Arabidopsis thaliana: one gene and its partner. The protein of the gene in region 1 interacts with the protein of each later gene in a pairwise test. Each region holds a gene or a part of one and is shown in the gene's direction. Other genes may lie near its edges. The genes, in order: AT5G47435 and PRR1.

Region 1 (15,986 bases):
TTGATCATTTCGCTTTCAAAATGATGAGGTCGTGTTCTTCTTAGTTGCAATTTGACTAAATTTGAGGTTCATTGTAAGTAGGATTTAGAGAAATTCCATCTTTGATTAGTTTAACTTAGCTGGGAGAACGCATAATCGGGCCAATTAGGGATTTTAGATCATGACATTGTTCTAGTGTTGTCTAATAAGTGGCCATTTGATGCAGAGTCAACAAGATACTATTACACCGTTCCAGATTTTGGGTGGTGAATCCCAAGTTGTTCAGGTACATTTGCTTTCTTAATATAGCGTGATCTTCGTATTTGTGGGTTATATGCCATATAATTTTAACTTCTCTAACCATTGCTCGTATGTTGGCAGATAATGTTAAAGTCAGAGGAGAAAGTCATTGCTAAGCCTGGTACTTCCACTGAATAACTCGCTTCTCTACTCAGTTTTGTATAATGGTTTCAAGTTTCAACTAATTTTGTGTTATGGTGATGTAGCTTCCATGTGCTACATGTCTGGCTCCATCGAGATGGAAAATACATACACTCCTGAACAAGAAGTTGGAGTTCTGCAGTGGATTTTGGGCAAGAGTGTAAGCAGTGTTGTTCTTCGGAATACTGGGCAAAACGACGGGTTTGTTGGTATTGCTGCACCTTATTTGGCTAGGATTCTCCCGGTTAGTGATTTTAGCTTGTCCATGTTGGCATAATCATCTTCCATTTCACCCTTAATGTATACCGCCTGATTCCTTGTTGTTTTTGTGATCTTTGTTTTCCATGTAGATTGATTTGGCAATGTTTGGAGGTGAGATCTTATGCCAGGTAGAGTCTTTTTTCCTAGATTTTGAACACTTAGCTATCAGCTTCTTCTTCACTCAGATCAAGCTCTTACAGAGTCGCCTGACCTTTTCTTCACTTTCTGTAGCCAGATGCATTCCTTTGTTCTGTCCATGATGTGAAGGTTGTCAACTCCGTTGACCAGAGAGCAAGAAACATTGTTGCCGCTGGTGCAGAGGTAAGAACTAAGAAGGAAAATACGTTGATTTGGTTTCTGATGCAATTATTATTCTTAACAAAATTCTGCAACCCGTTGTCTGGCTTCTACTCACAAATTGCTGTTGCAGGGATTTCTGAGACAACGCCTATCTGGACAAGGTCTTGCTTTCATCCTCGCAGGTGGCTCTGGTGAGATTTTATCCCAATGAAATGCTGTTTCCGTTGAGGCCTCATCCCCTTCAATAAAACTGACATTTAACATCCCAAACATGTTAGTTGTACAAAAAGTTCTGGAGGTAGGAGAAGTTTTCTCCATTGACGTTTCCTGTATTGCTGCTCTCACACCCTCTATCGATGTCCGAATCAAAAACAATGCTCCTTTTAGACGAGCACTATTCGGGGTACATTTTCACATATACTTTGTTTCAATGAGAAGAAGATTCAGGTTTTTGTTTTGTTTCTCAACTGTTTTAATCTTTCAACATTCAAAAGGGTGATAACGTAGTAATGGCGACTCTAACGGGGCCTGGCATTGTCTTCATTCAAAGCTTACCGTTTCATCGGCTCTCGCAGCGTATTGCAAGGTAAAGCAACCAACAATCCAAATCTCCATTTATGTTGCAAATATGTTTATATAAAGTGTGAATGGTTTTTCTGTGACAGGTCGGTAACGTCGCCAAACATGAGAGAGAATCCAAAATTGCTGATACAGATAGCTATATTTGCGTTCCTAGCATACGCTGTGATTTTGTCATCGTTGATCTTAACCGAAGTTTGAAAGCAGAGAGATAGAAAGAATTATCCGACCAACAAACTAACGTTGTAATTGTTCAAATTATCTCGGGTTTGGACTTTGGATGGATAGAGTGAAGATGAATTAGACACATCTCAAACCATTTTCTTTTCGTTTACTAGTGAGTTTAGGCACTTGTGTTATATTGATATTGCTCCTATATATTGAAAAGTGAAAACGTAGATACCGAGTTGAACAAAAATTGGATTCTTTACTTAAATCACACATCAATTTAAATTAATTAATTTGATTTTTTGTTTTGTTAAATAATTAATGTCTAATGATATTATTGATTAATTTTCATCGGATGGTTAAGAAATTGGATTAATTCAAAAAAAAAAATCTGGATTAATTCGTTACCAATGGATCATATAGTCAAGACTCAAGAGAATGTCTCAATGATATCATGGACTAATTTTCAGAAAATGGATTATAGCAGGAGTTAATAGTTTTCCAAAAACATTGAACTGTCAAAAACAGTAAACATGCTCAAGCAAAAATTCACAATTTTGAAAACAGCGAAATGTCATAGGTGTTAACACACGAATTTCAACAATATACAATACTCCGTTTTTTCCGTTTACTTTTTAAACTATTCGAATTACTCATGGATACGGATCTTACGATACGATGAATACATTTACGTTATAAGAAGTGACTACAACCATTCTTAAACATGTTTACGATTCGCACATAAGATCTCTCAAATCAGTGAAGCTAGACCAACAAGAATAAATTTGATATGAATCGTCGTCAAAACAAACACTAAATTTCTCACTGTAAATTCGCTGGTCTCATAGATTAAGAATAAAGTAGTTACGAAATCGAATTCCACTACAAAAATTAAAAAAGAATTCGATGACAAAAGAACTCTCTCTCTTTGTTCGTTACAGCAAAACAAGAAGATTCTCATTCTCTGTTTTTGATTATACAAAAAAAAAAAAAAACATGTTTGAAAATCCATGTCAAGCTCGAGATCTCTCCCCCTTTCCACGTTTTGAGTATCGGAGTTTATCTTCACTCACATCACTAACCACCACCGGTGGTGATCGCGCGTACCTTGACGGCTTCCTCTTGAAATGCCTATCTTCATCACTAGATTCATAATCTGCTACTTCTATTTCCTTCCGACTACTGTGTCGGTGAACTGATGTTCCCACGGCGGCTGCGGCAGAGGCGGAAGCAGATGGATCCGTAACAGAAGTAGAAGAAGAGGAAGGCACCTTTCTTCGTTTACCAGAAGATGTTTCTTCCTCCGGAAAACTTATCCGAGCGAATACGCTAGACTTAAGATTATTCTCGATCTCTGCTTTAGTAGCAGGGACTGGTGGCTCCGATGAAGGCGGTTCCGATCTCTTGCGGTGGTGATGTTGGCTGCGTTCGGTTTCACCACGGTGGTGGCGATGATCTCGGCTTCTGTCTTCATCGCGACGGTCGCGAGTACGGTCGTGTTCACGATCTACGTCTTGGTGACGTGACCTCTCACGGTCGCGTTGCCGATCTCGTTCATCAGGATAACGCTCGGATTTTCTCTTGGAGTCGCGAGACGGGGAAATGTTTTTACGCGTAGGCGGATGCTCTGGGGATAGTCTCTTCTCCGGTCGTCTCCGGCGATCGTAATCGTGGATTGGTGGTGGAGGTGCTTGTCTCTGTAAAACAATTGTTAGCCCAAATTATTATAATAAAATATGTATTGAATTCGGCCCACAAATAAAAAGGAAATGGGCTCAATAGCCCAGTTACCGTCGTCACCTTTCGGTTCCTACGCCTACTATTTTGCATTTTAGGCTTTTTAGCCATCTACCCTTCTATTTCTTTTCCTTTTTATTCACAGCCCTTAGTTTCTGATAAACCCCAATTTTATATTTCAGAAAATTACGTTAGAAACCAATATATTTTCCCCTAGTTTTCTTCAAGTTTTTTTTTTTTTTTTTTTGGGTTTTCAAAATAAGCAAAATGAGGGAATCAGGGAAGAGAATTTGGAGCCATTTTCTGATATAATAATAACATATAACCAAAAGTAAATGGGAGAGAGCGAAGCACAGGTGAACAAAGAAAAGAAGAAAGAGAGAGCGAGAGGGGAAGATGAGTCAAACAAAAGGAGACATACAGATTTATTAGGGTTGATGGATGATGCAGAGGCTGAAGTACCGTTGTTCATCATCATTCTGCTATTCTCTCCATCCCTAAACATCTTCCCACTGTATATACAACCAAACAACAACCAATGTTTAGGTTTTAGCATATCCTTGTTTGAATCTGTAGTAAAAATAGAGTGAGTGTTTTCTTTTTACCCTTCAGGTCGTCTCTCGTTTTCACGTTTTCTTAACATCTCAGCGTTTCGGGCTTCGGCTTCATCTCTGCCCATCATAGCACGTTGGAGATTCATTCGGTTTCCCATTTCAGCTAGGTCCCTGCGCATGCACAGAAAGTTCCATCATGAGACTTGTTGAGAAAGCTTTATTGCTCTTCTTTGATAGAGTGAGTGTTTTACCTATGGGGTGGTGGTATATTAGGGAACCCAAATCCTTGTGCCATGAATGGATCTGGATGCATCATATTCATACCCCCACCAAATCCCATGTCCATTGGGTTTAATCCGTAACCCATAAATGGAGGCATTGCGCCTGGAAACGGGCCTCCAAATCCATTGAAGCCAGGGTGAAAGCCATTGAAGCCAGGTTGAACACCGTTGAAGCCTGGTTGTACGCCATTGAAGCCAGGTTGCATGCCGTTGAAGTACTGCGGACCTGGTCCCATTTGCATCATATAGTCAGGGCCTGCTAGATCTGGCACAGGATTCCATTGCATGTCTGCAATAAATCACATAAACAAACCATCTTTTAGACCTCCCATTCGATTCACATAGACTTCGAAACTGACAATGTATTGCCTTCAGCGTAGCAAAGAAAGCTTTTACCATTCCCAGGCACTCTTGGTTTCTTTTTCTTCTTTTTTCCTGTATAGAGACAATAAGTACGTATTACATTGATGAATGACAACAAGGGTTCCTCAGTAATTGAAAAAAAAAAGGTTCATGTGAGGTCCAGCTTGATTAATCTCAGTAGGGAAATCTGAACTGGACTATCAGTCACCAATCATTCGCAATGTCCAGTGAAGCTAATATTAGTACATCTTTATTTTACCTGGCTCTCCAGCAGCAACCTGCTGCTGCATTTCTTCCTTGGGGGCTTGCGTATTCAACTTTGACACTGTTGCTTCTTTCACAATCACGGACCCTTGAGTGCTTTCACATGCATCAACTGGCTTTTCTACATTCACTTCTGCAGATGCACGAGGGGCACTTGTGATCTCTGCAACTTCCATTGGCGCCTTTAAAGTTGAAGCATCATTATTGTTACTAAGTACTGGTTTCTTCTCGCCTTTAGATGCAACAGATGTAGTAGGAGATAGAGCCTTGGGAGGTGGACAGCGTGCAGACTCCAAATCTATATTGTCCATGATAATTCAGTAGTGAGGACTAATCAAACAAAGTTTAAAAACACATGAATTTAAAATAATGACGGACCTGGGATATGGCCAACGCTGCCCACATTCTCAGTGCTATCGTTTCCAGCTTCCAAAATACGGTTTATGGTATCCCTGAGGGTCTTGTTTGGTAGAAGGTCGTCAGCAAGTACATCTGATCTTCCACAAACACACATTGACTTTGAAATAATGTGATCTCTGATACCTGAATCAGTGAAAAAGGATAATAATGTAGAACTGGAACTGACAACGGTCAGAAAAGGTTTTTGTGGAACAGCAGAATGCATTAAAAGAACTTACACTTGTCACAGAAGCTCTTGTAACAACATTTGCTTGTAAGCGCAGCATCTTTCATCACTTCTTTGCATAATGGGCATTTTAGCTCAGGTGGAAGTTCTCCTACAGAACGTGTTGTTGATGGCAATCCCTCCATTTCCTTCTCAAAAGCATCCCTGAATTTGTTGAAGACACAACAAACATTTAAACTATAATCAATATATGTGAAGAAGTACCCAATAGCAACATTCCCAAACTAATTCAGTACAACTTACTCATTTGGTTTCAGAACTGCAACTGCGCCACTTGGCAAGGAATAAGAACCATCTGGGGTCGCCATCAACATGGACTTGGGGATACCAGTAGGTGGCTTAACTCTCTTAACATCATAGTTAGGGTCTCCATTTGTGGGGCAATGCTGAATAAAATGTCCTGAGACAGCAAAGAAAATGCTCTCAACACTTCTTATCTATTATATATCCATCTACAAAAGTGAGAGAAAAATAAAGATTTTCAGAGCTGACATACCAGGGATATTGCAACGATGGCACACATAACCTGGAGGTGGCGTTTTCCTTTCCATTCCTATCCAGCCAGCAAAACCAAACTAAGTATCTTACAACTTGAGCAAATAGAACAAAAATATAAAATATTTTGACAGAAGTAAATGTTTTGTATACTGTATTTTGACATTCCAGAATTCAACCAAAATCAAAGAATAAAAGTAAGTATAAGTTACCAAAACCACGTCCATTCATCCTTCCAGGCATACCCCTCCCATAACCTCTACCAGCTCCAAAAGTATCTTGACCTTGTCTGTTACATTGAATAAATATAAGAGGTCTGTTAAACCTTCTCACAAAATCCAACAGTTTCACCTGCACCATTTCTGGAAGATTGCTTACCGTTGTTGCCAGTCAAGTGCTGGAGTGTCAATCAGCGCCTGAATTTTGCTTTCTTCATCTACTTTGTCGTCTGCGGTTGCAAGATGAGGACGTGGAATAATATGCTGGGCATCTTGGGTATCAGGAATGGAATAAAGATCAGTCCCAAACTCGTCATACTCATCTTCAGGCTAAGAGGTGAATACGGATGACATTAGTACTTTTGTAGTAGAAGAAAATTAGGTGCAGTCAATGCCAACAGAAGCCGAGAAAAGTTCACTATAATCAACTTACAAATTCAGCAGCAGATGGATCAGCAACAGGAAAATTGGTGGTTTCAGCCTGAACGTCTTCCACTTTATTCTGGATTCTAGGCCTGCAAAGTTAAGATATTTGCATCATTGAGGATCCCGAAGTTTCTTAAATCCGATAGTCAGACAATTAACTTATGTTTAGCTAAAACGATGCACCAGTAAAATGCAATGCTTTTAATATCATGTCTATTTAAGTTTAATAGCTAAATAAGTAGACAAAGAATATAGAAACTAAAGATCTGAGAAAGTACTCTTGTGTGGTAATAACTGTGATGCGAGGACGTCCAGGAACCCGACGAATAAGGACAGATGTATTCTTTGGGATTAACATTGCTTCATCCAGATACTCTGAAAATTCAAAACAGAGAACATATAAAGGCCACAGATTGCAATCATATTGGCACGAGACACAGTACACTAAAGCTTCCTGAGAAATTCAAGAATCATATTCCAACAAACCATTTCCTAATAGTTCACAAAAGTAAAAAAAAAATAAGACAAAGCTCAGCTAGTAAACAATCATAACATAAAATAAAGTTCATTGTATCACAGCTGCAAGCAAACAGTCTAATAATACGAAAAGCGCAGCACAACATTTGACATAGAAGACAAACCTTCGTTAGTTTGGGCATTGGAGACGACAATATCAAGGTCTTTACCAGTGCCCAAATGCTTAGTTTCGAAAATTTTGTCTTTGAGAATACCGACGGATATAAAAGGACCATCCATGGCAATGGTATCATAATCCCTTGCACTCTTAAACTTGTAATAAATTGCCATTGAAAATTTGTATCTGATATAAAAAGCAAAAAAATACATATATCTATTACTTATCTTATAAAGATCATGACACAAAGCTACTAGATTTTGAAAACCCTAATCAAGGCCTCCGGATTATTAAAAAAAAAAAACGAGGCCAGAGATTTGATTTCCAAAACAAAAAGGTAAATACAAACTAAGAAAACCCTAAAGATTCAATTTTTACTTCGCTGATTCGACTTCACAGAAGGAAACTCCACGCGTGTAGCAAAATCAATCCAAATCAACGAATCCTGGAAAAGTTCCTGCAGATTCAAGGAACGAGAACGTCCGTGTGATCGCCGAGCTGAGAATGGCGCCGGTGATGTCTCCAAATCTCCTTCTCCGAGGAATCTTCGCAGCTACAAAACGACAACTTGTAACAAAGAAACGGATGATCGGGCTTCACTCCATAAGATCCGGTAGCTCCAAGCTCCGATTTGGGGGATCAAAATCGAGAAACCTTTCGGGGGGAAATTGAAAAGGATCTAGAGAGTAATCATAGGAATCGAGTAGAGAGCGGTGTCTTCACGAGAAAGAAGATAGATCGATCTTGAAATCTAGGGTTTGGACACAAGAGCTCTCTTTCTCTCGTATCCGTGTTTATGTAAATCCCGTAAGAGAATTTTCCTTTAAATAATGAATTAAAATCTTATCTTATGGGCCCACTTATAAAGTAAGAATATGGACAGAACCACGGTTTTGTTTTTATTTATTTTCCTTCTTAAAAGTTAAAACACATTAAATTACCTAACTTTTGTTAATTTGAAAACGTAAAAAGTTGATTTTAGTATATTAATAATATTTTATTTGTGTAATAAATAGTTTTGACTTTTAATAAGCTAAAATCATACAGTAAAATCAATTTTTGTGAAAATATGTAAATTTGGTGGTACTTTATGCTATCAATTTTAACAAAACCCATTTCTTATTGGGCCCATTTTGATTTTGATTTGTTTATTAAATGCCCATTTTGATATTTTCACCCGAGTGAAAAATCCAGATTTTTTATTGCTCAATATTTACGGGACGACAAAAAAAAAAAGATTAAAAAAATGGAAGAGTGGAGCGCGATCCTTTGGGGAATCGGGACGGACCGTGATTGGTCGGTCTCTCTCGTTACGGTGAGGCTGAGGCTGAGGCGGAGATTGAGAGAGACCAACCATGATACGACGAATCACCGAGAGAGCTTCTGGTTTCGCTAAGAATATTCCGATTCTCAAATCGTCTCGATTTCACGGCGAGTCCCTCGATTCCTCCGTCTCCCCTGTTCTCATTCCCGGCGTCCATGTCTTCCATTGTCAGGATGCTGTTGGGATTGTAGCTAAACTATCAGATTGCATAGCAGCAAAAGGTGGCAACATTCTTGGCTACGATGTTTTTGTTCCTGAAAACAACAACGTCTTCTACTCTCGCAGGTCTCCATTTTTACTCCAAAATCTTCCCTTTTTTAGTAACTTTCTCGTTCAATAGACTTTAAGAAGTGTACGAAGCTTTGATAATGAATCGAGTGAAATATTATGTATTGGTTTTATTTCTGATGTTTCCTTTTGACAGCGAGTTTATCTTTGATCCGGTTAAATGGCCGAGAAGCCAAGTGGATGAAGATTTTCAAACTATTGCACAAAGATACGGTGCCTTGAATTCAGTTGTGCGTGTGCCTTCTATTGATCCTAAGTATAAGATAGCTCTTCTTCTTTCAAAACAGGTATTCACAATACCTTTTTGGATTTTCGATACTCTTTGTATTTCCTGCTCAAAAGTATGTGCTTCTATTATATACAGGATCATTGTCTTGTCGAAATGTTGCATAAATGGCAGGACGGGAAACTCCCTGTGGATATTACCTGTGTGATAAGGTGAGCTAATAGTTCTTTGGATCTGTATATTATGTAAGCATTTATATGTCTAGTGACTCGGATGCTGAAATGTTTTTTTTTGGTTAATAGCAATCATGAAAGAGCTTCAAACACTCACGTTATGCGGTTTCTTGAGAGGCATGGCATCCCTTATCATTATGTATCTACAACTAAAGAGAATAAAAGAGAAGATGATATTTTGGAATTGGTTAAGGACACTGATTTCCTAGTTCTTGCTAGATATATGCAGGTAGATGAAATCACATTTTTAGTCTTTGCATGAGCTCTTTTTTCTTTCTTTGGTCAAATTCTGACTTACATGTTCAGATGAATATTATTGCGTACTATTTAAGCTTCTTCTTCTATTTCCAACTAAGAATAGCAAAATTTAATTCATAGCATTTTCCCTTTGGCAGATTTTATCGGGTAACTTTTTGAAAGGTTATGGAAAGGATGTAATCAACATCCACCATGGTCTCTTACCATCATTTAAGGGTGGATATCCCGCAAAACAGGTCACTGAGTTTTGTCATGGCTCTACCTTCTCTTAGTTGGTTATATTGTTGTCTGTTTTTTTCTTGCCTCTTAATGTTCTAGATTCTGTTTACAGGCATTCGACGCTGGTGTGAAACTAATTGGAGCCACTAGTCACTTTGTTACCGAGGAACTTGATTCAGGGCCAATTATTGAACAAATGGTGATTCATCTTCCAAGTAGTTGATATGTAATGTAGTACCTTCTGGGGATTGTCAATTTTCTTCTGCAGCTTTCTCAATTTATCTGTTTGAATGGAACTTTTCACAGGTTGAGAGTGTTTCCCACCGAGACAACTTAAGGAGCTTTGTCCAGAAATCCGAGGACCTAGAGAAAAAATGCCTCACGAGAGCTATAAAATCTTACTGCGAACTAAGGGTATTACCTTATGGTACAAACAAGACTGTTGTATTCTAGTTAAGAAAGCAATAACTACGATTCTCATCTGATTCTTTGTTTGAACATCTCAAGAAAAGGTGATACGAATTTCTATAAGATTGTTGATTCATTTGCAGTATTTACAGCAGAAAAAACTGTGAATAGTAAATATTTACAGGATTCTCTATCGCATGCGATTGCTGAGACTCAGAGATTCCAGAGAGCATTTGGCAGCCTCGAGGCAACTTACTAAGCGGAGATTAGACTGAATCCCAGCAACCCATCTCTGCTTCTGAATCTTGCTCTTGCACTTGAACTCTAAAAGACCCTGTCCTGTTTTCAGACCAAAATAGACTTCTTCGGAATTTTCCCTCTCTTTCCTGCAAGGCCATGCAGATATCTCGTCGCAGACTCCATAAACAACACCTTTGAAAGCAACAACAAGCTTCAGACTTCCGTGTTTCAAGTAATTTCCCTAACTCTTGAAAGAATAAAAAAATGCTTACATTTGATCTTCTTGGAGAATGCCCCTCCAACATGTTTGCTTTTGAGTTTGATCATGACCTGAGAAATTCATAGAGGTTAAGTAACTAAGTATAGAGAAGCAAATAGATATGTGTCTCTTACAGATTAAATCCAGTCTACTCAAGTACCTGAGACTTCTTGTTGATATAGACACAAACTCGCTTATTTCGCTGCAATCCTGCTAATAAATTAGAATTATAAGCATCTTAATTAGTGGAACCAGTCTTGAATAGAGTTTGAGAAGAATAGGATTACCATTTCGTGCACATTGCACCAGTTCGCCCTCTAAAGGAAGGTTTGGTTCCTCCAATCTAAACTGACAATTTTCGCCGGGCCAGTGAGAGTCTGAGAAGCTCCTTTCACAAGGTGTGATAGTTGCATTCTTCCTTGATTCCTTCGGCTGCCTCACCTTTAAAGCTGCTTCCCCTCTCAATGCTGGTTCATTTTTTCCACAGACTCAGATCAAATACCATCTTACTAACCCAACCAAAGCCTCAAACACCAACTTTTAAACAATAGCCTTACCAGTTGCAGCCGCAGCTGTGAGAGTCATGAGATCGCCAGGGCTGTGGATATCAACGGAAGACCTGACCGTGGAAGCAACACAGGTGTGATCAGCGCCTGCTTGCTCAGCCATGTCAATGCAGTGTGAAGCCAGTAGCTCTGTTGCTGAGGCTAGAGCCAGTGCCATCATGGAGCATGACTCTTTGCTGCAGCTTTCCTCAGAAGTCACAGATGCTAACCCAGCTGCCAGAGCTGCAATGGACACAGCTGAGTGAACATGGGCTTTCTGTACACGCGCTTTATCTTTCTTCCTCGGAATCCTCATGGTGCTTGGGTTGGTGTGTTGTTTGTGGTGAAACCACTTTGATAATCTCCCTGATCTACGGGTTCCAGCTGAGTTCATGATATTCTCTGCCTGCAAATACCAAGGAATCATCAAAATCAGAATTCAAAAACTGGTGAATATGTCCACACAAGTGGAAGGTAATCATACCATGAGTGGATCTGCAGCAACATCTTGGAAGAAGCCTCTAGGACTGTTCTGGGAAACAGAAAACAGATCTCGCTGTTGTCTCTGTTTCTGCGCCAAAGCTTTGGAGATTTCAGAAGCAGATAGACTCCATGATCTGGATAGAAACTTCATTGGCTCCCTTGGTGTCTGAGGCTGAGGTATCTGAGAGACAATCTCTTCACTTCTTACATTTCCTTCCTCCAACTCGTGCTCCGGATTCTCTGATCCGAATAACGACGAGGAACTATCATTCCAATCGGAATAAAACCCACCTTCCATTTCCTTCTTAGTTTACAGAAAACCCAAGATGACGAAAGAACTTTTTGAGATGAAAGAGGTTAATAATGTTGTTGACTCAAGATTGTGAAAGAGAAGAAGACGAGGACAACAAAGCAGATCACCAATAAGCAAACACTACCTCTTTCTTTAATACTAGCTTGGAATTGTTCAAATATCAAATCAGAAAATGATGCTAAGTAAATAAACGAAGTTTCCATGTTCTGATATTAGTAAAGAGAAAGAAAGGAAGAGACAGAGAGAACACAAATCGATGTAATTGTGCTTTGAGCAGACTCAATAGATTCAGGAAATGTCTCATCAAATGGGTACAAATGTAGATTAGAGAAATCATGGAAGTCTCGTAATATGAATAATTAAGATAAGATGGTAGGATACTGTGGGGACATATGCATTGGTTTGAGAGCCATAAGCTGCTCTTTTGTCTTGTCTTTTTTTGAGTTCGAGAAGATTTGACCTGACAACTTTAACGGAGTTCGTGACTCTACCGACCAGTTTCTGTTATAATTGTAGTCACACGTAACAACAACGCTTTTGGTTTCTCTATAAAGATACTCCCACGAGTTCAAAAGTGTTAAAGACAATTCGAATAACTCTCGGCTATTGGTTTGTTTTTCTTTGTATATTACCATTATTATTCCTTCCATATCTATGGATAATTACGTAATCAATACTCCATATTTGGTTCCACAAAAGCAATACAAAACGGAAATATTTCTACAGATTAGTTTATCGATTCAATATAAACTAACATACGATATAATTTTAGTTTCCGATTTTGCTTCCGTTTTTGTTGATGCCACCGTTCGGGCCAATAGGAGAATGATCCCCTTTCGCCGTAACGGCCATCAACAATGTTGTTGTAATTGCCATAGGTGAGTTTTCTGTAAAATTGCTTCGAGGTGACAATGGTTGTCGTTTGGTCGCCAAGGCAACCGTAGATAGAGAGATTGATGAACAAATGTTGCAAATGAACCATTATTCGTTGAAAATGATGATCGCATACTGTGGCGAAGCAATTCGTTCAACAAGAATGTTTTGCAAATTGATTATGTTTTGGCCAAATTGATTAATAAATTATAGTAAGTAATAGAACTAGAGAGAATCAAAGAATCGAACGAAGAAGAAGAACTTTCTGTTATTCATCTTAAGAAAGTTTGTTACATTGAGACTCTCTTTATGTACTAGAGAGACCCGGTTCATACCGGTTCATACCGGTTTACACTTAACCGAACCATACAATTTCATCAATTATATAGTCTATTATCCTCCCTCAAGATGAGCCGTATATGGAGAGAAGACTCATCTTGCCAATGAGAGAATGCCGTATAGTACTAAAGTAAGCAATCACATCCTGTATCTGACTTTTCGACATGTTTCCCACTAATTCAGCAATTCCATCAGGACCAATGCCTTTTCCCAATGTCATCTTCCCATCAGTCAAAGCAAGATTAGCAACAACCGGTTTTGACTTCTCAGGTGGTGTACTACCTTCTGCTTATGTTTGAAACCAATAGGATAGCCATGGATTTTGTAACAAGTGTCAGCAGTGTGACCAGTGTATCCACAATGTGAACACTGAACTTTTGGTTTTGAATTTGGTTGAAAAGAACGAGTAGCATTGACAGCAATCTGATCATTCGACAAAATGGAGACATTAAAGGCAGAAGCATTCGTTGGATTAGTAACAATGTTGCGCTGACTGTGATCTTGATCCAGAAGATTGTAAATCTCAGCAAGGTCTGGTATTGTCTTTTTCATGATTATCTGACTCCGAATGGTTGAGTAAAAATCATTCAAACCTGCAAGAAACTTAACAATCTTGGAATGCTCATTTACAGAAGCAGTAGCAGAACAACATTTGCAGTTTCGACAAGTGTTAACACAACTAGCTCCATCCAAATCATCCCAAAGAGTCTTCAAAGTAGTATAGTAATCAGATAAACTCATATTGCCTTGTTGTAAACTCCAAATCTGCTGTGTCAACTGATAAGATCTTGGTAAGTTTGTGATATGAAATCGAGTATCCAAGTCTTTCCAAATTTCCGCAGCATCATTGAATCGAAGAATACTCTTGTAAATTTGCTTTGTAACAGAATTCAAGATCCAAGACTTGACCATACTATTGCATCGTGACCAAACTCTAAAGCTCGGATCAAACTCAGGAGGTCTTGGTAAAGTTCCATCAACAAAAGCGATCTTATTCTTAGCATCTAACGCAACAAACATCGCTATTTTCCAAGAAGAAAAGTTAGATCCATCAAGTACCTCAGAAACAATTGTAGTACCCGGATTATCACCATTAGACAATGCATAAGGTGAATAATGAGCATCCGCGAAATCGAACTGTGGAAATGGATAAACTGATGATCTCGTAGCAAAATTTTGTTGAATCGGAGACGAAATTGGTGGAACCGGTGGAATCGGTGAAGATTGAGTACGATCTGGAGTCTTCTCAGCTGAGATCTTGCTTGATTTCCTCGTGCGACGCCGTAACTTTTCAACGGAAACCATCGCGAAATCTGAGCTTGATTTAACTGATTTATGAAGAAACAATCGAAAAACAGAAGATCGACGAGCTCAGATGAACAAGAACTCGAAGATGTGAAGAGAGTTAGGTGTTGAATCGGCTGAGAACTTCGAATTCCAGCGCTCTGATACCATAATAGAACTAGAGAGAATCAAAGAATCGAACGAAGAAGAAGAAGTTTCTGTTATTCATCTTAAGAAAGTTTGTTACATTGAGACTCTCTTTATATACTAGAGAGACCCGGTTCATACCGGTTTATACTTAACCGAACCATACAATTTCATCAATTATATAGTCTATTAGTAACTTCTCATGAATCTCAAATCAATAAAATTTGACTTGCTCATATCATTCGGCAAATTTTCACATCTTTGATGTAAAATTGGTGTGGAAACTGGAATCCATTTGTATTTGGGATTTAGATATTTCAATGGACCATTCACAATCACAAATCACAAGAACAACAAAAATCTAAGAGAAGATAAGTAGTTTGAATCCGATCGTTAAGTACGTTTTAATTATGTCGATAACTTTATGAAAGTAAAATGCCATAGAATACAAAAACATATGAAAGAAACCAAACATGCTATACGTTAAAAAAAAGGAGATGAAGTGAAATGTATATACATTTTCTTATTAACAGGACATAACTTTTTTTCTTTTCTCTACATACAATCTTGCAAGAAAGTGGACACCAAACATACACACGCAAACAAAACATCAACCAACCATCAAGCAATCACAAAACCCAGTCAATTACACTCGGATCTCACGGGTTTCTACCGCTTCATAAGAACCGATGAACACATCACCGTAGATAAGTCCCGCGAGTGCACCACCCACAAGTGGTCCCACCCAATAGATCCAGATTTGGGACAAGTCACCACTGACAACAGCTGGTCCGAACGACCTTGCTGGATTCATGGAGCCACCACTGAATGGACCAGCAGCGAGGATGTTGGCACCAACTATGAAGCCGATGGCGATTGGAGCGATGGTCCCTAGCGATCCTTTCTTTGGATCAGCTGCTGTGGCGTAAACGGTGTAGACCAATGCAAAGGTCACAACGATCTCCATGACGACACCTTCGACCGCTCCTAGACCGGCTGAGACCCCGTGGGTCGGTACGCTCTGCAGCAAACCGGGAAACAACTCATTAGTCAATTATTTTATACCCTTAAACCGTTTAGTTTTTGAAACGTTATAATATTTTTGTCATCATATATATATTAATATACTAACGTACCTATGACGGTACGAACATATAAACCAAACCTAACAAAAGTACAAAACCTATGTATTTTTTAATTT
Region 2 (15,464 bases), on another chromosome or scaffold:
CTTTGTTACCTTTGTAGGAGTCGTTGCAGCAGTTGTTGTTGTAGTCACAGGTTTCTGTTTTGAATGTGAAGCCAGAAGCGTTTTGAAAATTTTCTCAGCCCCTAACTGCAAAACCGCAACAGAAAGTTTCCACCACCGAATGTACCCAACCGTAACATCAGCCTCGTGAAGCCGAGCAGGAAAGTACAACATTCCATCAGCAATGGGACGGATATAATCTTTCCAGGCCAATTCCGGCGTCTCAATTCTAGCTGGAACTACGCCGGGAACATCCTGATCATAACCAAACTGCAATGCCACACGGTGAGGATAATAAGGTTCAATGCAATCCAAACCAACCAGTTTAGCAAACCTCAAACACCGACCAAAGGCTACAATGTTCTCATCAGGTCTTACTCGAACCCAACAGTCATCTTCAAAGTAAAACTTTGGGAATCTGAAGTTATTCACAGGTTTTGTATATGGACGATAGTCGAAACTCTCTTTAGCCGAGTCCAACACCGCTCTGATATTCTCAGGATAGCCATACACATCCTGACCACCACCATAATGATGCCACCGCGCTATCCGCGGTTCACCAGTCTTTAACTGACTCGGCTGGCCAGGTGGCTGCAACGCCATGAATCTCTCCAGAGCCCAAACCTGCACAAACTGAAACGGAGACTTCACCACCACTGTCTCTTTCTCACTATAACCAGTAAGAAACTCCTTCAAAACCCCAAGATCCCCGTAAATCCTAGCTAAAACCGCCGGAGCAAGAGCCAACCTAACACCCTTAGCAAGCTGAACCGCAGCCGGAAACAGCTTCTCTCTCAACACGTCACCCGAATTAGTGAAGACGAAACGCGAAAGCCACGAAACCATAAACGCCTCATGCTCAATCTCATTCCCTGAATTCATCATCTCTTTCATCCACATACTAACACAACATTTCTTCTCCAAACTCACCTCAATATAACGTTTCGCCTCCTTCATCTTCTCCTCCACCTCCTTCATACCATCTCGTTTAACCGGAGCCAAAGCATTGTTCCCAGTAACAGACAATCCTCCAAGAACAATCATATCCTCCAACGTCAACGTCGCTTCACCCCAAGGAAACACAAATGTATTCGTCTCAATACACCATTTCTCCACCAACGCCACAATCAAATCATCATGCCTCTTAATCTGATACCTAGACGCCAAAATCGCATCGTAAACACCAGATTTCTTCCACACCGTGGCGTGTGACTTAGCCATTACATTAACCCACTCAATCCAGTTCAACGACGGAGTTCCCCACCCTGGAAACGAGATCTTCGCCGTTGGATCAAACCCTTCCGGTGGTCTACACACAAACGCATCGAGAGGAAGGTCAAAGACATCGTCGTCGATAGATGCCGTTGTGTAGTTTAAGAACCTCGCCGTTCGTAAAGATTCAAACTTTTCACCGTCGGGACACATTAAAGCTTCCCTGACTTGAACAATTTGTTCATCTTCTTGATCAGAAGATCCTCGAGACTCCTCCATTATTAGGTCGGAGAACCAAAAACACAAATTTTAGGGTTTTGGGTCAATTTCTGGCTAAAGTTTAGAAATTTACAATGGGGAAAGAAAGGAGAAGCAGTTGAGAGACAAAATCTTGACTCCGGCGCGTTTGTTGCCGGAGATCCCGACAGAATTTTCCCGCTTAACGGGGAAGAAGAAGGAAACAAAAAATGTTTTTTAAAAAGAAACAAAATTTAAAATCTATTTAGAGATATGATAATAATCTAACGGTGGTGGAGCTTTGCTTTTACGTCAGAAGTATACTTCAATTGGAAAATTTTATCCTGTTCCTGTTTTTTGGAACTTTTTTTGGTAAATACAGAAATCTCATTCTAGAAATTATTTTTGTTACAGCTATGAGCTTTACATAAAAAGTATTTTCCAGATAGTATAAGCAGCATAACCAATTTTTATGTAGAATTAACAAAGTGAGAAGAGAGAGGAATTCTAAAAGTTATTAGGAAAAAAACACGTGATTTATATTCTTCAAACTAATTAGATTTTTCTTTTTGTTCAGAAATTAGGATTTTAAAAATTACAAAATACCTTATATATTATTTAAGCTTCTTAATAAAAAAAAATAGTCAAGATTTTGTTTTCATGAAAACTCGGATTTACTAAAAAAAGACGAAGAAATAGATTTCTTATTTCATTCCAATCGATTTAAACGCAAGAGAAAGAATTCATACCACATTCAGGTATCTCGGTTGAAATACTCGTAAATGGTATTTGTGTTTTTAGATTATTAATTTTAGTAATCTCATTTATGAAGTGTTTATTCTCGTTTTCAAGAAATTCTGAATCCAAAATATGAAACAAACCTCGGAAGGAGTTTCCATGTAATCTACGTTTTTCTTTTCACTTAAAAATAAATTATAGATTTAGTTTTACAAAATTGGCAGTTAACGAAACAATTGCAGAAACTAAGCCGACAAACAACATAATAACTAAGAGTCTAAAGTCCAAGAATATGGGAAGCCTACAAACACAACTTCTAATGCATAACAAATCCGAATTCAAGGAAGGGCAAAACATAAACTAACTGAAACATGGAAGATCAAAATCTATAAACAGAATCTAGAACAAGAGACTTTGTAATCTACGTTTTAATACCAACTAAGAAAAAGTTTATCATTAATTAAAAATGTTAATACTAATTAATTAAATGGTAGATAACGGCTACTAGAAAGAGAATTAAAATTCTCTAAAGATTAAGTTTATTAAAGATCCACATAATACAGCCCATTAAAGGCCCAGTCAGTTTTGGGGATCTAGTGCTTTGAAATGTGAGAAAAAATTTTACATTATTATTGGGTATAGTGATGTAATTCATTAAATTAGATTCATTAAACTAGGGGCACATAGATGCAGTCATGCAGAATGTTCCAATACATAAACTATTAATGTTTTATAAGTTAAAAAGTCATAAGATTTGGCTTTTGACATTTGAGTTACATTGTTAATTCAAAAAGTGCATGCTTTCGAGAAGATCAAAAACTTTTTTCTTATTTTTTATTTTATCTACCACTGACTTGGTCAAATTTTTAGCCTTTGTGAAAGAATTTTATTTTTGCATGAATTTAAACCGGTTGATTTAAAACAAATACATTACTTTTGCTAAAGATGGTTCAAGGCGTCCAACAAATACACTGACATAGCAAATTTTGAAATAATCAACTAAAAAATTATTCAACAAATTCAACTGCCTAATCCGGTGGAAACATGCATTAATGGATATAGTATTAAACATCTTTCATTACTTAGAGAAATTTTCAAGGTCAAAACATATACAAAGATATATAAAAATGTTATAATAAGATTTTTTGTTTTAAAGATCAAAGTAGAGTAATATGATATTTGTAACCAAGGGCGTTTTTACTTTTTATCATGTATAAGGGCATCTCCAAGGCTAAACACCATTTTGGTGTTCAAATTACACTATTTTTAGCACTAAAACTTATGTTCTCTCCAACCATAACACCAAAAATCACACTAAAAGAATAATCTACTATTATATTATTTATTTAAAAGATTTCTTTTATTATTTAATAGTTTTGATTAATATTTATTATTAGTATAGAAATACATAACATTATAAAAATAGTACATTGAAATATATATTTAAAAATACATAAATTTTTAACTATTTTAAGTATTTTCATACATAATAATATAAAAATATCATAATTAAATCAACAATTTCAAAAGATATAATATATTAATGTATACATTCATTTTTATATTTTATATTTATTAATCATTTGTAATTTTATATCTGTTAATTGAATTTTTATTGATATAATAAGTGAATAGTGTTTAGAGTTGTGAATAGTATCACACCAAATTTGATGTAACACTGTAGCATTACACTAAAATGGTGTGAATTTTAGAGTTCCATTGGAGAGCTTTTAGTGCAAAAATTACACTAAAATGGTGTTTTAGAGTTTCATTGGAGTTGGCCTAAGTGATTTCAGTTTTAAAAACAAATGGTGTATATAAATAGGGGTTTTGAAAAAAATATATAGATATTAATTAGAGTCTATGATTTTAAAAAAATATAACATACATAAAAATGGACCTATAACTTTTTTGAAAATTATTATATCTCATAGATATACTTTATATAGATGGACCAACATATAGTTTGAGACAACCATGGTTTTAGTCTCATTCCTAATTTCTCCAATTACTCCATTCAAGTGTAGGTGTGAATCAAACATCCAACAAATCTCTAGCGGTACCTTGAATATTGGACGAAACACTGAAACTGTAACCAATTTTATAAGGACAGAACACAAATTCAACTACTTTTTAATTATTACAAGAATGATTTCTTTTTTTTTAAGGATAGAACACAAATCTTCACACGTGGCATCTTCCACAACCAATCACGGTGCTCTCACCAACCCCATAATTAATTTCTCTTATCTATTTGTCATAATTGTTTTTGTTTTCTCCCACAATTATCTTCTAATTCTTTAGTCCACAGCCCCGCTTCGAGAAAAAGGCACGTAATCCTTTGTTTCTCATTCACATTTTCATTTGATTCTAAAATAATATTGGCCATTATTATACATTAACTTTCACCAGAAATTCGTATCTATTTTTGTGTTGATTTAATCGGAATTTGTAATTTAGTAGTCTGCATTCATATTATGTGGAGAACACTCTCTCGAGCAGTCAAGATTTTGTGACGAACCTTATAGAGTTGGTCAAGAATATGCATTTCCCTATCGATTGACCAGCTTTTTAATATTTTTAAGACAATTTTTGTCTACTTCGAAATCTTTCGTATAAATTTTAAAATGAATATTTTGGTATCTAGCATCAGGTTTGTTGATGTTGTATTCTAATCCAGTTTGAGAAACCAATCATCCTTACATATTTTAATTTAGTTTGTGAGGTTGACACAAAAACAAAATCTATAGAAAACTGCATGACGTAGGGTTAATTTGTTCATTGTCTTCAATCTTTTTTCCTGTTGTTTATGATAAAATTAATAACGTTTGATAGTTGATGTTTAAATGTTACAAAATTATTACCCTTCAAAAGATATCATAATTTTTGTGTTTTTAATTTCAGAAAATCATTATGTTTTATACAATTTGATGTTGTAGTTTTCTTTTTGTTCCACTTTGTATCTATATTATTATTATATTTGTTTGTTACTAATAGAAAGAGGAGAAAAGTACAATTAATATTATTAAATTAATAAAAAAATAATTAAAAAATAAAATAAAAAGTTACTTTACTTAATTTATGTGAAAAGAGGAGTAAACGCAAACAAAGAGAGAAGCTCTGTTTTCATATGGCGTTTGATCATTTATTTTTATTTTTTAAAAAATGTCGAGATTAGGTGAACTACTAGTCTACTAATAAGGATTATTATTCCATTGCAAAGAATCTAAAAAGCTCAGATGACATTTGTAAGTCATCACAATAAGGTTGAATAGCTCAGAAGAGTGCGGCGTGTGGGTCATAACGCCACCACTTAAACAATTATTTACTTCGGAGCATTTAGAGATTTACAAAATACACCTATTTGTAGATTTTTAATCTATATTACACATATTGTACCAAATTTTATGTGAATATGATGGCCGAAAAAGAAAGAAAAAATTGTGGCCGATTAGGGGATTCTTTGTGACCATTGAAAAATTGACTATATACACATAGAATTTCAAACAAATGATGTCATGTTTGTAAATGAATACATGCGTAAGCTTTTTAACTGGTATAGAATATAGATTAATTATATATGGAGATAAAAATCTGCTCATGTTACATGTTTTCAAACTCCAATTGAAGAGTTGGCGAATTGTTTTTTCTAAAGTCAATAGTTATGTCAGAAATAGTTAATTTTTGTCAAAGTATACTAAAACGGCCAAATTAATCTCTATTCTCTAATTAAAGTGTTAGCGAAAGATCCCACCAAAACATGTCACCACGAGTTAGAACAATAATCGCTTTCAGAAAGGTCTAGTGGAGTCATCAGGTGTCGTGAGACACATTAGTAAACGAACACGTTAGTCAAATTATTAAGAGACTATGGTTCCACACTGGTAAAGACCCAAGAACTGACTAATCTGTTTTCATATAGACATCTCTATTTTTGTGTTACAATCCAATTATGTACTATTTTCGGAATTAAGATATTATTTACTAATCGTGGATTACCTAATATAAATTCTTTAAAATAATCAAAGAGTATATTTTGTCATAAGTATTCATTGAAAAAGGATATGGTGAGAAAAGTATTAATAGAAAATACGTATTTTCTTTCATAGGCATCATATCAAATGTCGATATCTTTACTTATAATGCATACAATTATCGGTTAGGTGTACACATATATATGTAAATGTATATGTTTCGATTCATTATATATATACACAATCAAGAGAGGCTCTTTCAACCAAAACATTGATCTATAGAGAGAGAGAGAGAACAAAAAATGGGAGAGAGCAAACGCACCGAGAAAACGCGCGTTTTGGTGGTTGGAGCGACTGGATACATAGGGAAGAGGATAGTAAGGGCGTGTTTGGCTGAAGGTCACGAGACTTACGTTTTGCAGAGGCCAGAGATTGGTCTCGAAATCGAGAAAGTCCAACTCTTTCTTTCTTTCAAGAAACTCGGCGCACGTATCGTTGAAGGTTCTTTCTCCGACCATCAAAGCCTCGTATCCGCCGTGAAACTTGTTGACGTCGTTGTCTCCGCCATGTCCGGTGTTCACTTCCGTAGCCATAACATTCTAGTCCAGCTCAAGCTCGTCGAAGCTATCAAAGAGGCTGGTAACGTAAAGGTATAATAAACTATAAATTAAAGTTTAATTATGATTGATCGGTTTAGAAAATTGTGCGGTTAATCTGAAAAAAATCTTATAAGTAAAGAAACCACACGAAAATAAAATTAAAAAAGCCGGAGAGTTTATTTTTGTTTTACTATTTACATTTCATTTATAAGAAAAAAAACGTCAACGGTAAAAGATCCATATTGCATGCATACAAAGAAACTTGATACTCTTGTTGATTATTATTACTTTTTGTTTCTTGTTGTAATTATAATGATATACGTAAGATTAATAATTTCAGCGGTTTTTACCATCTGAATTTGGTATGGATCCACCACGTATGGGACATGCGCTACCGCCCGGAAGAGAAACCTTTGACCAGAAAATGGAAGTGCGTCAGGCGATAGAGGCTGCCGGAATTCCTTACACTTACGTTGTGGGTGCTTGCTTTGCCGCCTACTTCGCCGGAAACTTGTCTCAGATGGTAACTTTACTTCCTCCGAAAGAAAAAGTTAATATTTATGGTGATGGAAATGTAAAAGGTAAAATTTTCAAACTCTTTTTTAACTCTTTGTGGTTATATACCTTTTAAGACTTTAAATTAGATCAAGCCCATCTAAACCAATCAATTTAAACCGTTTTATATTTGTAGTGGTGTTTGCGGATGAAGATGATATCGCAAAATACACCGCGAAAACGTTAAACGATCCACGGACATTAAACAAAACCGTGAATATTAGACCTCCCGACAACGTTCTCACGCAGTTGGAATTAGTTCAGATCTGGGAAAAGCTAACCGGAAAAGAATTGGAGAAAACAAATATTGCTGCACAAGACTTCCTCGCCAACATTGAACGTAAGTCCAAGCAATAGTGTAACGTAATCTACTTTATGTTCGGCAACATATCCTTAATGGGCCAGGCTTTAGGTCTATTTGAAAAATATAGCCCATCAACTTTATTTGATTTCTTTTACATGTATGTAGAAATGGAGATTCCACACCAAGCAGGGATAGGACATTTCTATCACATTTTCTATGAAGGATGTCTCACTGATCACGAAGTCGGAGAAGACGAAGAAGCTTCTAGTCTTTATCCTGACGTCAAGTACAAACGCATGGATGATTACTTAAGAATGTTCCTCTGATTTGACCAAGTCTTATCTATACTAAATACACATATCAAAAGTTTGATGTTTTATATTCATTCATGTTCTGCTATATATGCAAATTTAAAAATATATTCTTCATGCAAGAAAAAATATTATCTTTGGTTTTTAACAACCAATAAAAAGAACAACAACAACACAAGGAGTAAGGCGTTGGTAACTCTACTGATTGAACCCTACCTCGTAACTTCTAGTATGGAAGAATACGGAGGTCCAAAGCTCGAGAGGTTTGATGAAATCTTGTATCTCGGTTCGTAACTAAGATCAGAACAAAAAACACACACAACAACAACAACAACAAAATATCCATGGAATTGCATCGATATGAAAGAAGACTACTAACAAATGAGAAAAAAAATCAGTAGGAAAGTAGAAATATGAAAGATCACAAGTTTTTGTTTCTTAAAGCAAAAAAACCATAAAACCCACTTGTAAGCCCAGTCTTTAATTTATATACCAGTGCTAAACTATGTGGTTGCAAGTTGGAATTGGAACTTTCTAAGTGTATGTGAATATGCATAAATTGAAACCAAACAATTAGTTGAGCTTGTGTACTAAATTATTGTAATCGCCGCCAAAAGATAAGTAATAATAAACTATTGCTCTCTTTTGTGGACAACAACGCACACGAGACTATACAAAATTTGATGGAATAAAAGACAGCGCATAAGACAAGATAAACAAAGGCTGATAATTGCATAATGTGCATATGGGACTTTTGGAGTGTCATCAATGAATCACGAGGACGGATGTTAGTATATTACAATTGTTTATTACAAACTCGAATAATTCCAATTTACCATCATTGACACATAAACATTATGAAATCAAATGGTTTGATAATGATCCTTGCATATATAATTATAAAAATCATCAACCCGAATTTGAGTTCGAATGAAAACAGATAATTTTACTATCCACTACTACGTCACATATTTTTTTTTAGTCGCGATTTCGTACAAACTAATCGGTGGTTAATTAAAACGTAAAAGTCAAATATTTTTGTTGTGGATAGAATGTAAACAATACTTTTTTAAGTCATAAGAAGGCAACACAAGCAATGTTAGCATAATGTTTATTGCCAACGAGTAGATAAACGTGGATGAGCGCATCAAGACATGTTACTAATCCCAAAACCTTAAGCAAAAGCGATATTAAAATTTATCAAGATCATAGACTCTGTACATAATATTTTTATTCCTGAAATGACTAAAAATTGTATGACTGATCAAACGTATAGAATTGTATAACGTTTGTTGACAAAAACTTGTTCGTCAAAATTTTCTTCTATATTTTAAATAAAGCTAAAACGAGTCCATATTTTATTCCCGCAAAGCTTTTTGATTTCCTCGACCAAAATAAATGCATGTCCTACCTAAAAACTATAAGTACATCTCCTAATACGAAGAATATAATTTTATCATGATTTGTCATTTGGTTATAATTTATCCATTATTTAGATTAGGTAACCGAAAACTTTGCCTTTATTTGAAAAGTTAATACAGAAACTCATAAAAGGCAAATACAAGATGCTTCTCCATATATCAAACCTTATTTAATTTCTAGTATACCAAAAGAAGTCAAAAGAAAACGAAATTTACTCCATCACTCGATGATTTCACGCGTGCTACTACTTTGATAGTTGGTCACTACAATAAGCAATGAGCATTTCTCAATTCTCATACTCTCTTTAGGAATATAATCGTAACAAAAAAACATCAAATGAATTATTCAAAATTTATTTCCCAAAAGAAAAAGATTTTGATATCTAACCAAATTTAAATCCGGCCCACACAACATGATACTTTGACACCAAATGTTGAGGGTTTCTCTTATCTCTTGGCTCTAAACCTAATTCCAACCCAAAAAAAAACATATGAAATAGTACAATACAAATATCAAGGGGTCTTAAAGATATTTCCAAAATATAAGTAAGAGGAAATGAAAATTAGCTGTATACAATATAATATATTGTCCATAATTTTTTTATATATATAATATGGTATTACCTTATGTCAATTAGTTATAATTATACATTACAATTGATAAACATGCAATGATTTGTGGGTTTTAGTTTAAATAATTTTCAAACATTATTATGTAACTTATGTTTAACTATTATGAATTTTTTTTATCTTTTCGGATGTCATCTATCTTAGTATTAGATCAAAATAATTTACCATAAAATCTGTAGAAAGATTTTTTAATTTTTTTGGTAAGGTGAAGAAAAAATCATTTGTTTATAGAAATGGATAATATTTTTATATAACAATTGGAAAAAAACCTCAAAAATAAAAATATTAGAAACTCCTAGAGTTTGGATACTTTCTTCATTCTCTTTCTTTCTCCTTTACGCCACTCTCCATCAAAACCCATCTCTCTTCTCTTTCTCTCTCGAGTTTATCAACAATGGCGACTCTACAAGACATAGGAGTCTCAGCTCTCATCAACCTCTTCGGTGCTTTCTTATTTCTTATAGCATTCGCTGTCTTAAGAATCCAACCCATCAACGACAGAGTTTACTTCCCCAAATGGTATCTCACCGGAGAAAGAAACAGTCCTCGGCGCTCCGACAGAACTCTCGTCGGAAAATTCGTAAACCTCAACTACAAGACTTACTTCACGTTCCTTAATTGGATGCCTCAAGCTATGAAAATGAGTGAATCAGAGATTATTCGTCATGCTGGTCTTGATTCTGCTATCTTCCTTAGGATTTACACTCTCGGGTAAGTATTTTATCTTCTTCTTCTCGGAATTTGGTTTTGTCTTACATAAAAAACGAAACTTTTTGAGAGTTTGAGTTGTTTGCTAGTAAAATCTGTTGAGAAGTCAATATCTCGAGAAAATGAAAGAACAAAAAAATCGAAACTTTTTCAATATTGATAGAAAAATGTTGATTATTACAGTTGCTCTTTATTTTTATTGTCCTACATAATTATTTCACTAAGATTTGATTAATGGTTCTCGAGAGAAAAATTGTTACTTTCGAGAAAATTTATGTTTTTTTGGTTCTTGTTCTTGTGGGTTTTTTGTGGGATTGATTGTAATCTCCAAGAACGAATTTTTACGAGTGACAAATTCCCGAATTTCACGGTTTTAAGAATCTTTACTCGTGAGAATGATTGTACTTTATTTTAACAATATAAAGAATGTACAGCTAAGTTTCAGATTTGTCTGCTCTGTATTCCACAAAGACAAAAGCAATAGAAGTTTCGTTTCTGTTCACTGTTTCGTGTTTGTTTCCTGAGAAAAAGTCACTCTTTAGATATCTTTCTTTTTTCCCCGGGAAAGTTACTGTAAAAATTTATGTGAGAATCTGAATAATTTGTTGGTTTGTTGGCAGCTTGAAGATCTTTGCACCAGTGATGGTATTAGCGCTTGTTGTTCTTGTTCCAGTAAATGTATCAAGTGGAACACTTTTCTTCTTGAAGAAGGAACTTGTGGTCAGCAATATCGATAAGCTCTCTATATCCAATGTTCAGCCCAAATCTTCAAAGTGAGCTTACTTGTGAACTAAAATTATGCTTTACTAATCAATGAGTTTTACTGGCTAAAGTTTAACATTTCTGTGTATGTGTGTGTGTGTGTTTAGGTTCTTCTTTCATATTGCAGTAGAGTACATTTTCACGTTCTGGGCATGTTTCATGCTCTACAGAGAATACAATAATGTCGCTATTATGCGTCTGCAGTATTTAGCTTCACAGCGTAGGCGTCCAGAACAGTTCACTGTGAGTGAAAAAGCCGCAAACTTCAAACATGGATAATTGTTGCATCTATGTTTATATATACTACTGTTTGTTTTTGCAGGTTGTTGTTAGAAACGTCCCTGACATGCCTGGTCACTCGGTTCCCGATACCGTTGATCAGTTCTTTAAGACGAATCACCCTGAGCATTACCTCTGTCATCAAGTAATTTTGTTTGTCCTTCATCACTTACTTTAGTTGTAGAATGCGTTAGTGTGTGATTGATGAATTCAACATTCTTGTTTCAGGCTGTTTATAATGCGAACACTTACGCAAAGCTGGTGAAGCAAAGAGCGAAGTTGCAACGTTGGTTTGACTATTATGTGCTGAAGCATCAACGTAATCCGCATAAGCAGCCTACTTGCAGAGTTAGTCTCTCCCACGCCATTTGTTTAGCTTTTTGAAATGAAACGATGTTGATTGTGATGGGCGGATTTTCTTTTTTCAGACAGGTTTTCTTGGTCTATGGGGTAAGAGGGTTGATTCCATTGAGTACTACAAGCAACAAATCAAGGAGTTTGACCACAATGTAAGCCATTCATTTGCTTTTTAAGTTACTGCTGAAACAGAAACTTAAACCTCGTTTCATCTTTGGTGATACAGATGTCTTTGGAGCGTCAAAAAGTTCTCAAGGACTCCAAGCTAATGCTTCCTGTTGCATTTGTGTCGTTTGATTCACGATGGGGTGCTGCTGTTTGTGCACAGACGCAGCAGAGCAAGAATCCGACATTATGGTTAACGAGTAGTGCTCCAGAGCCTCGTGATATCTATTGGCAAAACCTTGCTATACCTTTTATCTCTTTAACCATCCGGAAACTCGTAATTGGTGTCTCAGTCTTTGCCTTGGTCTTTTTCTACATGATTCCTATCGCCTTCGTGCAATCTCTTGCCAATTTAGAAGGTCTTGACAGAGTTGCACCTTTCCTCAGACCTGTTACTAGATTGTAAGTCTCTCCATCTATCTCGGTTTTTTGCTTCTTGGTATGTTAGACCATTGATCCCTCTCCTTGGTATTTATTGCAGGGATTTCATCAAGTCATTCTTACAGGGTTTCCTCCCCGGTCTTGCGCTGAAAATTTTCTTGTGGATTCTCCCTACGGTTCTGCTAATTATGTCGAAGATTGAGGGATACATCGCTTTATCAACCCTTGAGCGTAGAGCAGCAGCAAAGTACTATTACTTCATGTTAGTTAATGTGTTCTTGGGAAGTATCATTGCTGGAACCGCGTTTGAGCAGCTGCACTCTTTCCTTCACCAATCACCATCTCAGTAAACCACCTTTTACTTCTATTAACCGTCTAAAGATTCTAACTTTGAATTAAAACTCATATCTTAAATGCTCTTGTTTATTGTGTTTATGCAGGATTCCTCGAACCATTGGGGTCTCCATACCGATGAAAGCTACATTCTTTATCACATACATAATGGTTGACGGATGGGCTGGGATTGCAGGTGAGATTCTCCGGTTAAAGCCCCTCGTGATTTTCCACTTGAAGAACATGTTTATTGTGAAGACTGAAGAAGATAGAGTGAGAGCAATGGACCCTGGTTTTGTCGATTTCAAGGAGACTATCCCATCTCTCCAGCTCTACTTCCTCTTGGGAATTGTCTACACTGCTGTTACTCCCATTCTTCTTCCTTTCATTCTCATATTCTTTGCCTTTGCTTACTTGGTCTATCGCCATCAGGTTCGGTTTCATACCCAATCACCCGTCGTATCTAATTCTCCGCTAAATTTTGGGTTTTCTTGATGGTGCTTTCTTGGTTTACAATGCAGATAATCAATGTTTACAACCAACAATACGAGAGTTGTGGAGCGTTTTGGCCGCACGTTCATGGCCGGATAATCGCAAGCTTGTTGATATCTCAGCTTCTGCTAATGGGACTTTTGGCTTCTAAAAAGGCAGCTGACTCAACTCCATTGCTTATCATCTTACCCATTCTCACACTTTCTTTCCACAAGTATTGCAAACACCGCTTCGAACCTGCCTTTCGACAATACCCTCTTGAGGTAAATAAAGAATCTTTTGGGCTCTCTTCCTAAAAAAAAAAGGTTTAAAGCCTTCTTACAAAGACCCGTGTTTTTGGTCTTAACAGGAAGCAATGGCGAAAGACAAGTTAGAGAAGGAAACAGAACCGGAGTTGAACATGAAAGCAGATCTTGCAGATGCTTACTTGCACCCAATTTTCCATTCATTCGAGAAAGAAGTAGAATTATCATCATCATCATCATCAGAAAAAGAGACTCACCAAGAAGAGACACCAGAGGTAAGAGTGGACAAACATGAAACACAGTCGTCTAGTCCTGTGACAGAGCTCGGTACTTCTTCCCATCACCATCATGTCTACAATTCCACTTCCCCTTCTTCTCACTACGCTTCAGCTTATGAGCAGTCATCGTCTCAGTATGAATATCACTACAATACTCATCAGTACGAGGAGCATGAGTACCGTTACAATTGATCTCTAGACAGAAGAAAAATATGTAATCTCTTATGAGTGTCATAACTAAAGGTTTCTTTTGGTCTAGGTTTAGGTTATTTGTTAGCTGACTTTGGTTTCGGTTTTAAAGGTTAGGAAATTGGTGTTAGTGTCATTCACTTGTATGAAAATATATTCGAAGATTTAATTTATTGTCATCTTTCAAGCCTATTGTAATTGTAAAATTTGGTTTATTGGATATGATAAAAGTTACGTTAGAAAATACTCTAATAAAAAAGATGTATCAAAAACTATATTAATATTAAATTAAAGTAGACAAAAGACCTTTCTTAACGGAAAAACCTAACCCGGAAAAAGACAAAACTGGATCCTCTTGTCGATAGAACTTTCTCTCTTGTCCATACAAATATCGTAATCCAATTTCAATCACAAACATCATTAACGAAGATGGAGAAGACTATGATGTGCCGTCTCTTAGAATCACATCCACGTCGTCGTCTCCATACCCATGGCTACTCTTTTAGCCACTCCTATCTTCTCTCCTTTAGCTTCTTCTCCAGCAAGGAACCGTCTTTCTTGCTCTAAGATCCGTTTCGGTTCCAAAAATGGGAAAATTCTCAATTCTGATGGTGCCCAGAAGTTGAATCTCTCAAAATTCCGTAAACCCGATGGCCAAAGATTTCTACAAATGGGTTCTTCTAAAGAGATGAACTTTGAGAGAAAACTCTCAGTCCAAGCTATGGATGGTGCAGGAACAGGAAACACATCAACGATCTCTCGTAACGTAAGCTTCACGATGTTGTTTATTTACCATTTTATTGTAACAGCTTTTTAAAGTTTTGAATTTTTCGTTCAGGTAATTGCGATAAGTCACTTGTTGGTATCACTTGGGATCATTCTTGCTGCAGACTATTTCTTGAAGCAGGCGTTTGTAGCAGCGTCTATTAAGTTCCCAAGTGCTTTGTTTGGGATGTTCTGTATTTTCTCTGTTCTTATGATATTTGATTCGGTTGTTCCTGCTGCTGCAAATGGTTTGATGAATTTCTTCGAGCCTGCGTTTCTGTTTATCCAAAGATGGCTTCCTTTGTTCTATGTTCCTTCTCTTGTTGTTCTTCCTCTTTCTGTTAGAGATATTCCGGCTGCTTCAGGTGTCAAAATCTGCTACATTGTAGGTATGAACTTGATCTTCACTTGGTTAATGATCTTGTGTTCTCTGGTAGCTTTTATGGGTTTTTTGTCTAATTGCTCTGTTTTGTTTATTATTTAATGCTGATCTGATGTCAATGTTGATTTG

The links.
Region 2: the proteins of AT5G47435 (region 1) and PRR1 interact in a two-hybrid assay, tested with the Arabidopsis thaliana proteins (one large-scale study listed by BioGRID).

Annotation. Positions count from the first base shown.
Region 1 is NC_003076.8:19,233,078-19,249,063, forward strand, and holds AT5G47435 (formyltetrahydrofolate deformylase), read left to right. Parts: upstream 1-8,594; 5' UTR 8,595-8,701; coding exon 8,702-8,955; intron 8,956-9,094; coding exon 9,095-9,245; intron 9,246-9,322; coding exon 9,323-9,396; intron 9,397-9,486; coding exon 9,487-9,646; intron 9,647-9,812; coding exon 9,813-9,911; intron 9,912-10,006; coding exon 10,007-10,093; intron 10,094-10,200; coding exon 10,201-10,347; 3' UTR 10,348-10,406; exon of another isoform or gene 10,407-10,486; 3' UTR 10,487-10,492; coding exon of another isoform or gene 10,493-10,734; 3' UTR 10,735-10,814; coding exon of another isoform or gene 10,815-10,872; 3' UTR 10,873-10,911; downstream 10,912-15,986. Other genes in the region: AT5G47420 (Tryptophan RNA-binding attenuator protein-like protein), read left to right, coding at 206-265, 361-400, 486-664, 771-809, 913-1,002, 1,112-1,172, 1,260-1,384, 1,476-1,567 and 1 more; AT5G47430 (DWNN domain, a CCHC-type zinc finger), read right to left, coding at 2,742-3,425, 3,887-3,977, 4,071-4,190, 4,271-4,589, 4,697-4,735, 4,923-5,225, 5,306-5,470, 5,566-5,717 and 7 more; AT5G47440 (auxin canalization protein (DUF828)), read right to left, coding at 10,493-10,734, 10,815-10,872, 10,962-11,011, 11,089-11,268, 11,359-11,752, 11,831-12,127; TIP2;3 (tonoplast intrinsic protein 2;3), read right to left, coding at 15,432-15,806. UniProt on the Arabidopsis thaliana protein: Deformylase involved in photorespiration. Prevents excessive accumulation of 5-formyl tetrahydrofolate (THF), a potent inhibitor of the Gly decarboxylase/Ser hydroxymethyltransferase complex.
Region 2 is NC_003070.9:11,538,971-11,554,434, reverse strand, and holds PRR1 (pinoresinol reductase 1), read left to right. Parts: upstream 1-6,418; 5' UTR 6,419-6,481; coding exon 6,482-6,829; intron 6,830-7,118; coding exon 7,119-7,359; intron 7,360-7,469; coding exon 7,470-7,673; intron 7,674-7,802; coding exon 7,803-7,963; 3' UTR 7,964-8,275; downstream 8,276-15,464. Other genes in the region: AT1G32120 (serine/threonine-protein phosphatase 7 long form-like protein), read right to left, coding at 1-1,509; AT1G32090 (early-responsive to dehydration stress protein (ERD4)), read left to right, coding at 10,394-10,710, 11,328-11,480, 11,577-11,712, 11,792-11,893, 11,977-12,096, 12,177-12,257, 12,332-12,672, 12,752-12,997 and 3 more; LrgB (uncharacterized protein), read left to right, coding at 14,679-14,954, 15,027-15,342. UniProt on the Arabidopsis thaliana protein: Reductase involved in lignan biosynthesis. Involved in secondary cell wall biosynthesis in fiber cells. Unlike conventional pinoresinol reductases that can reduce both pinoresinol and lariciresinol, PRR1 shows a strict substrate preference toward pinoresinol.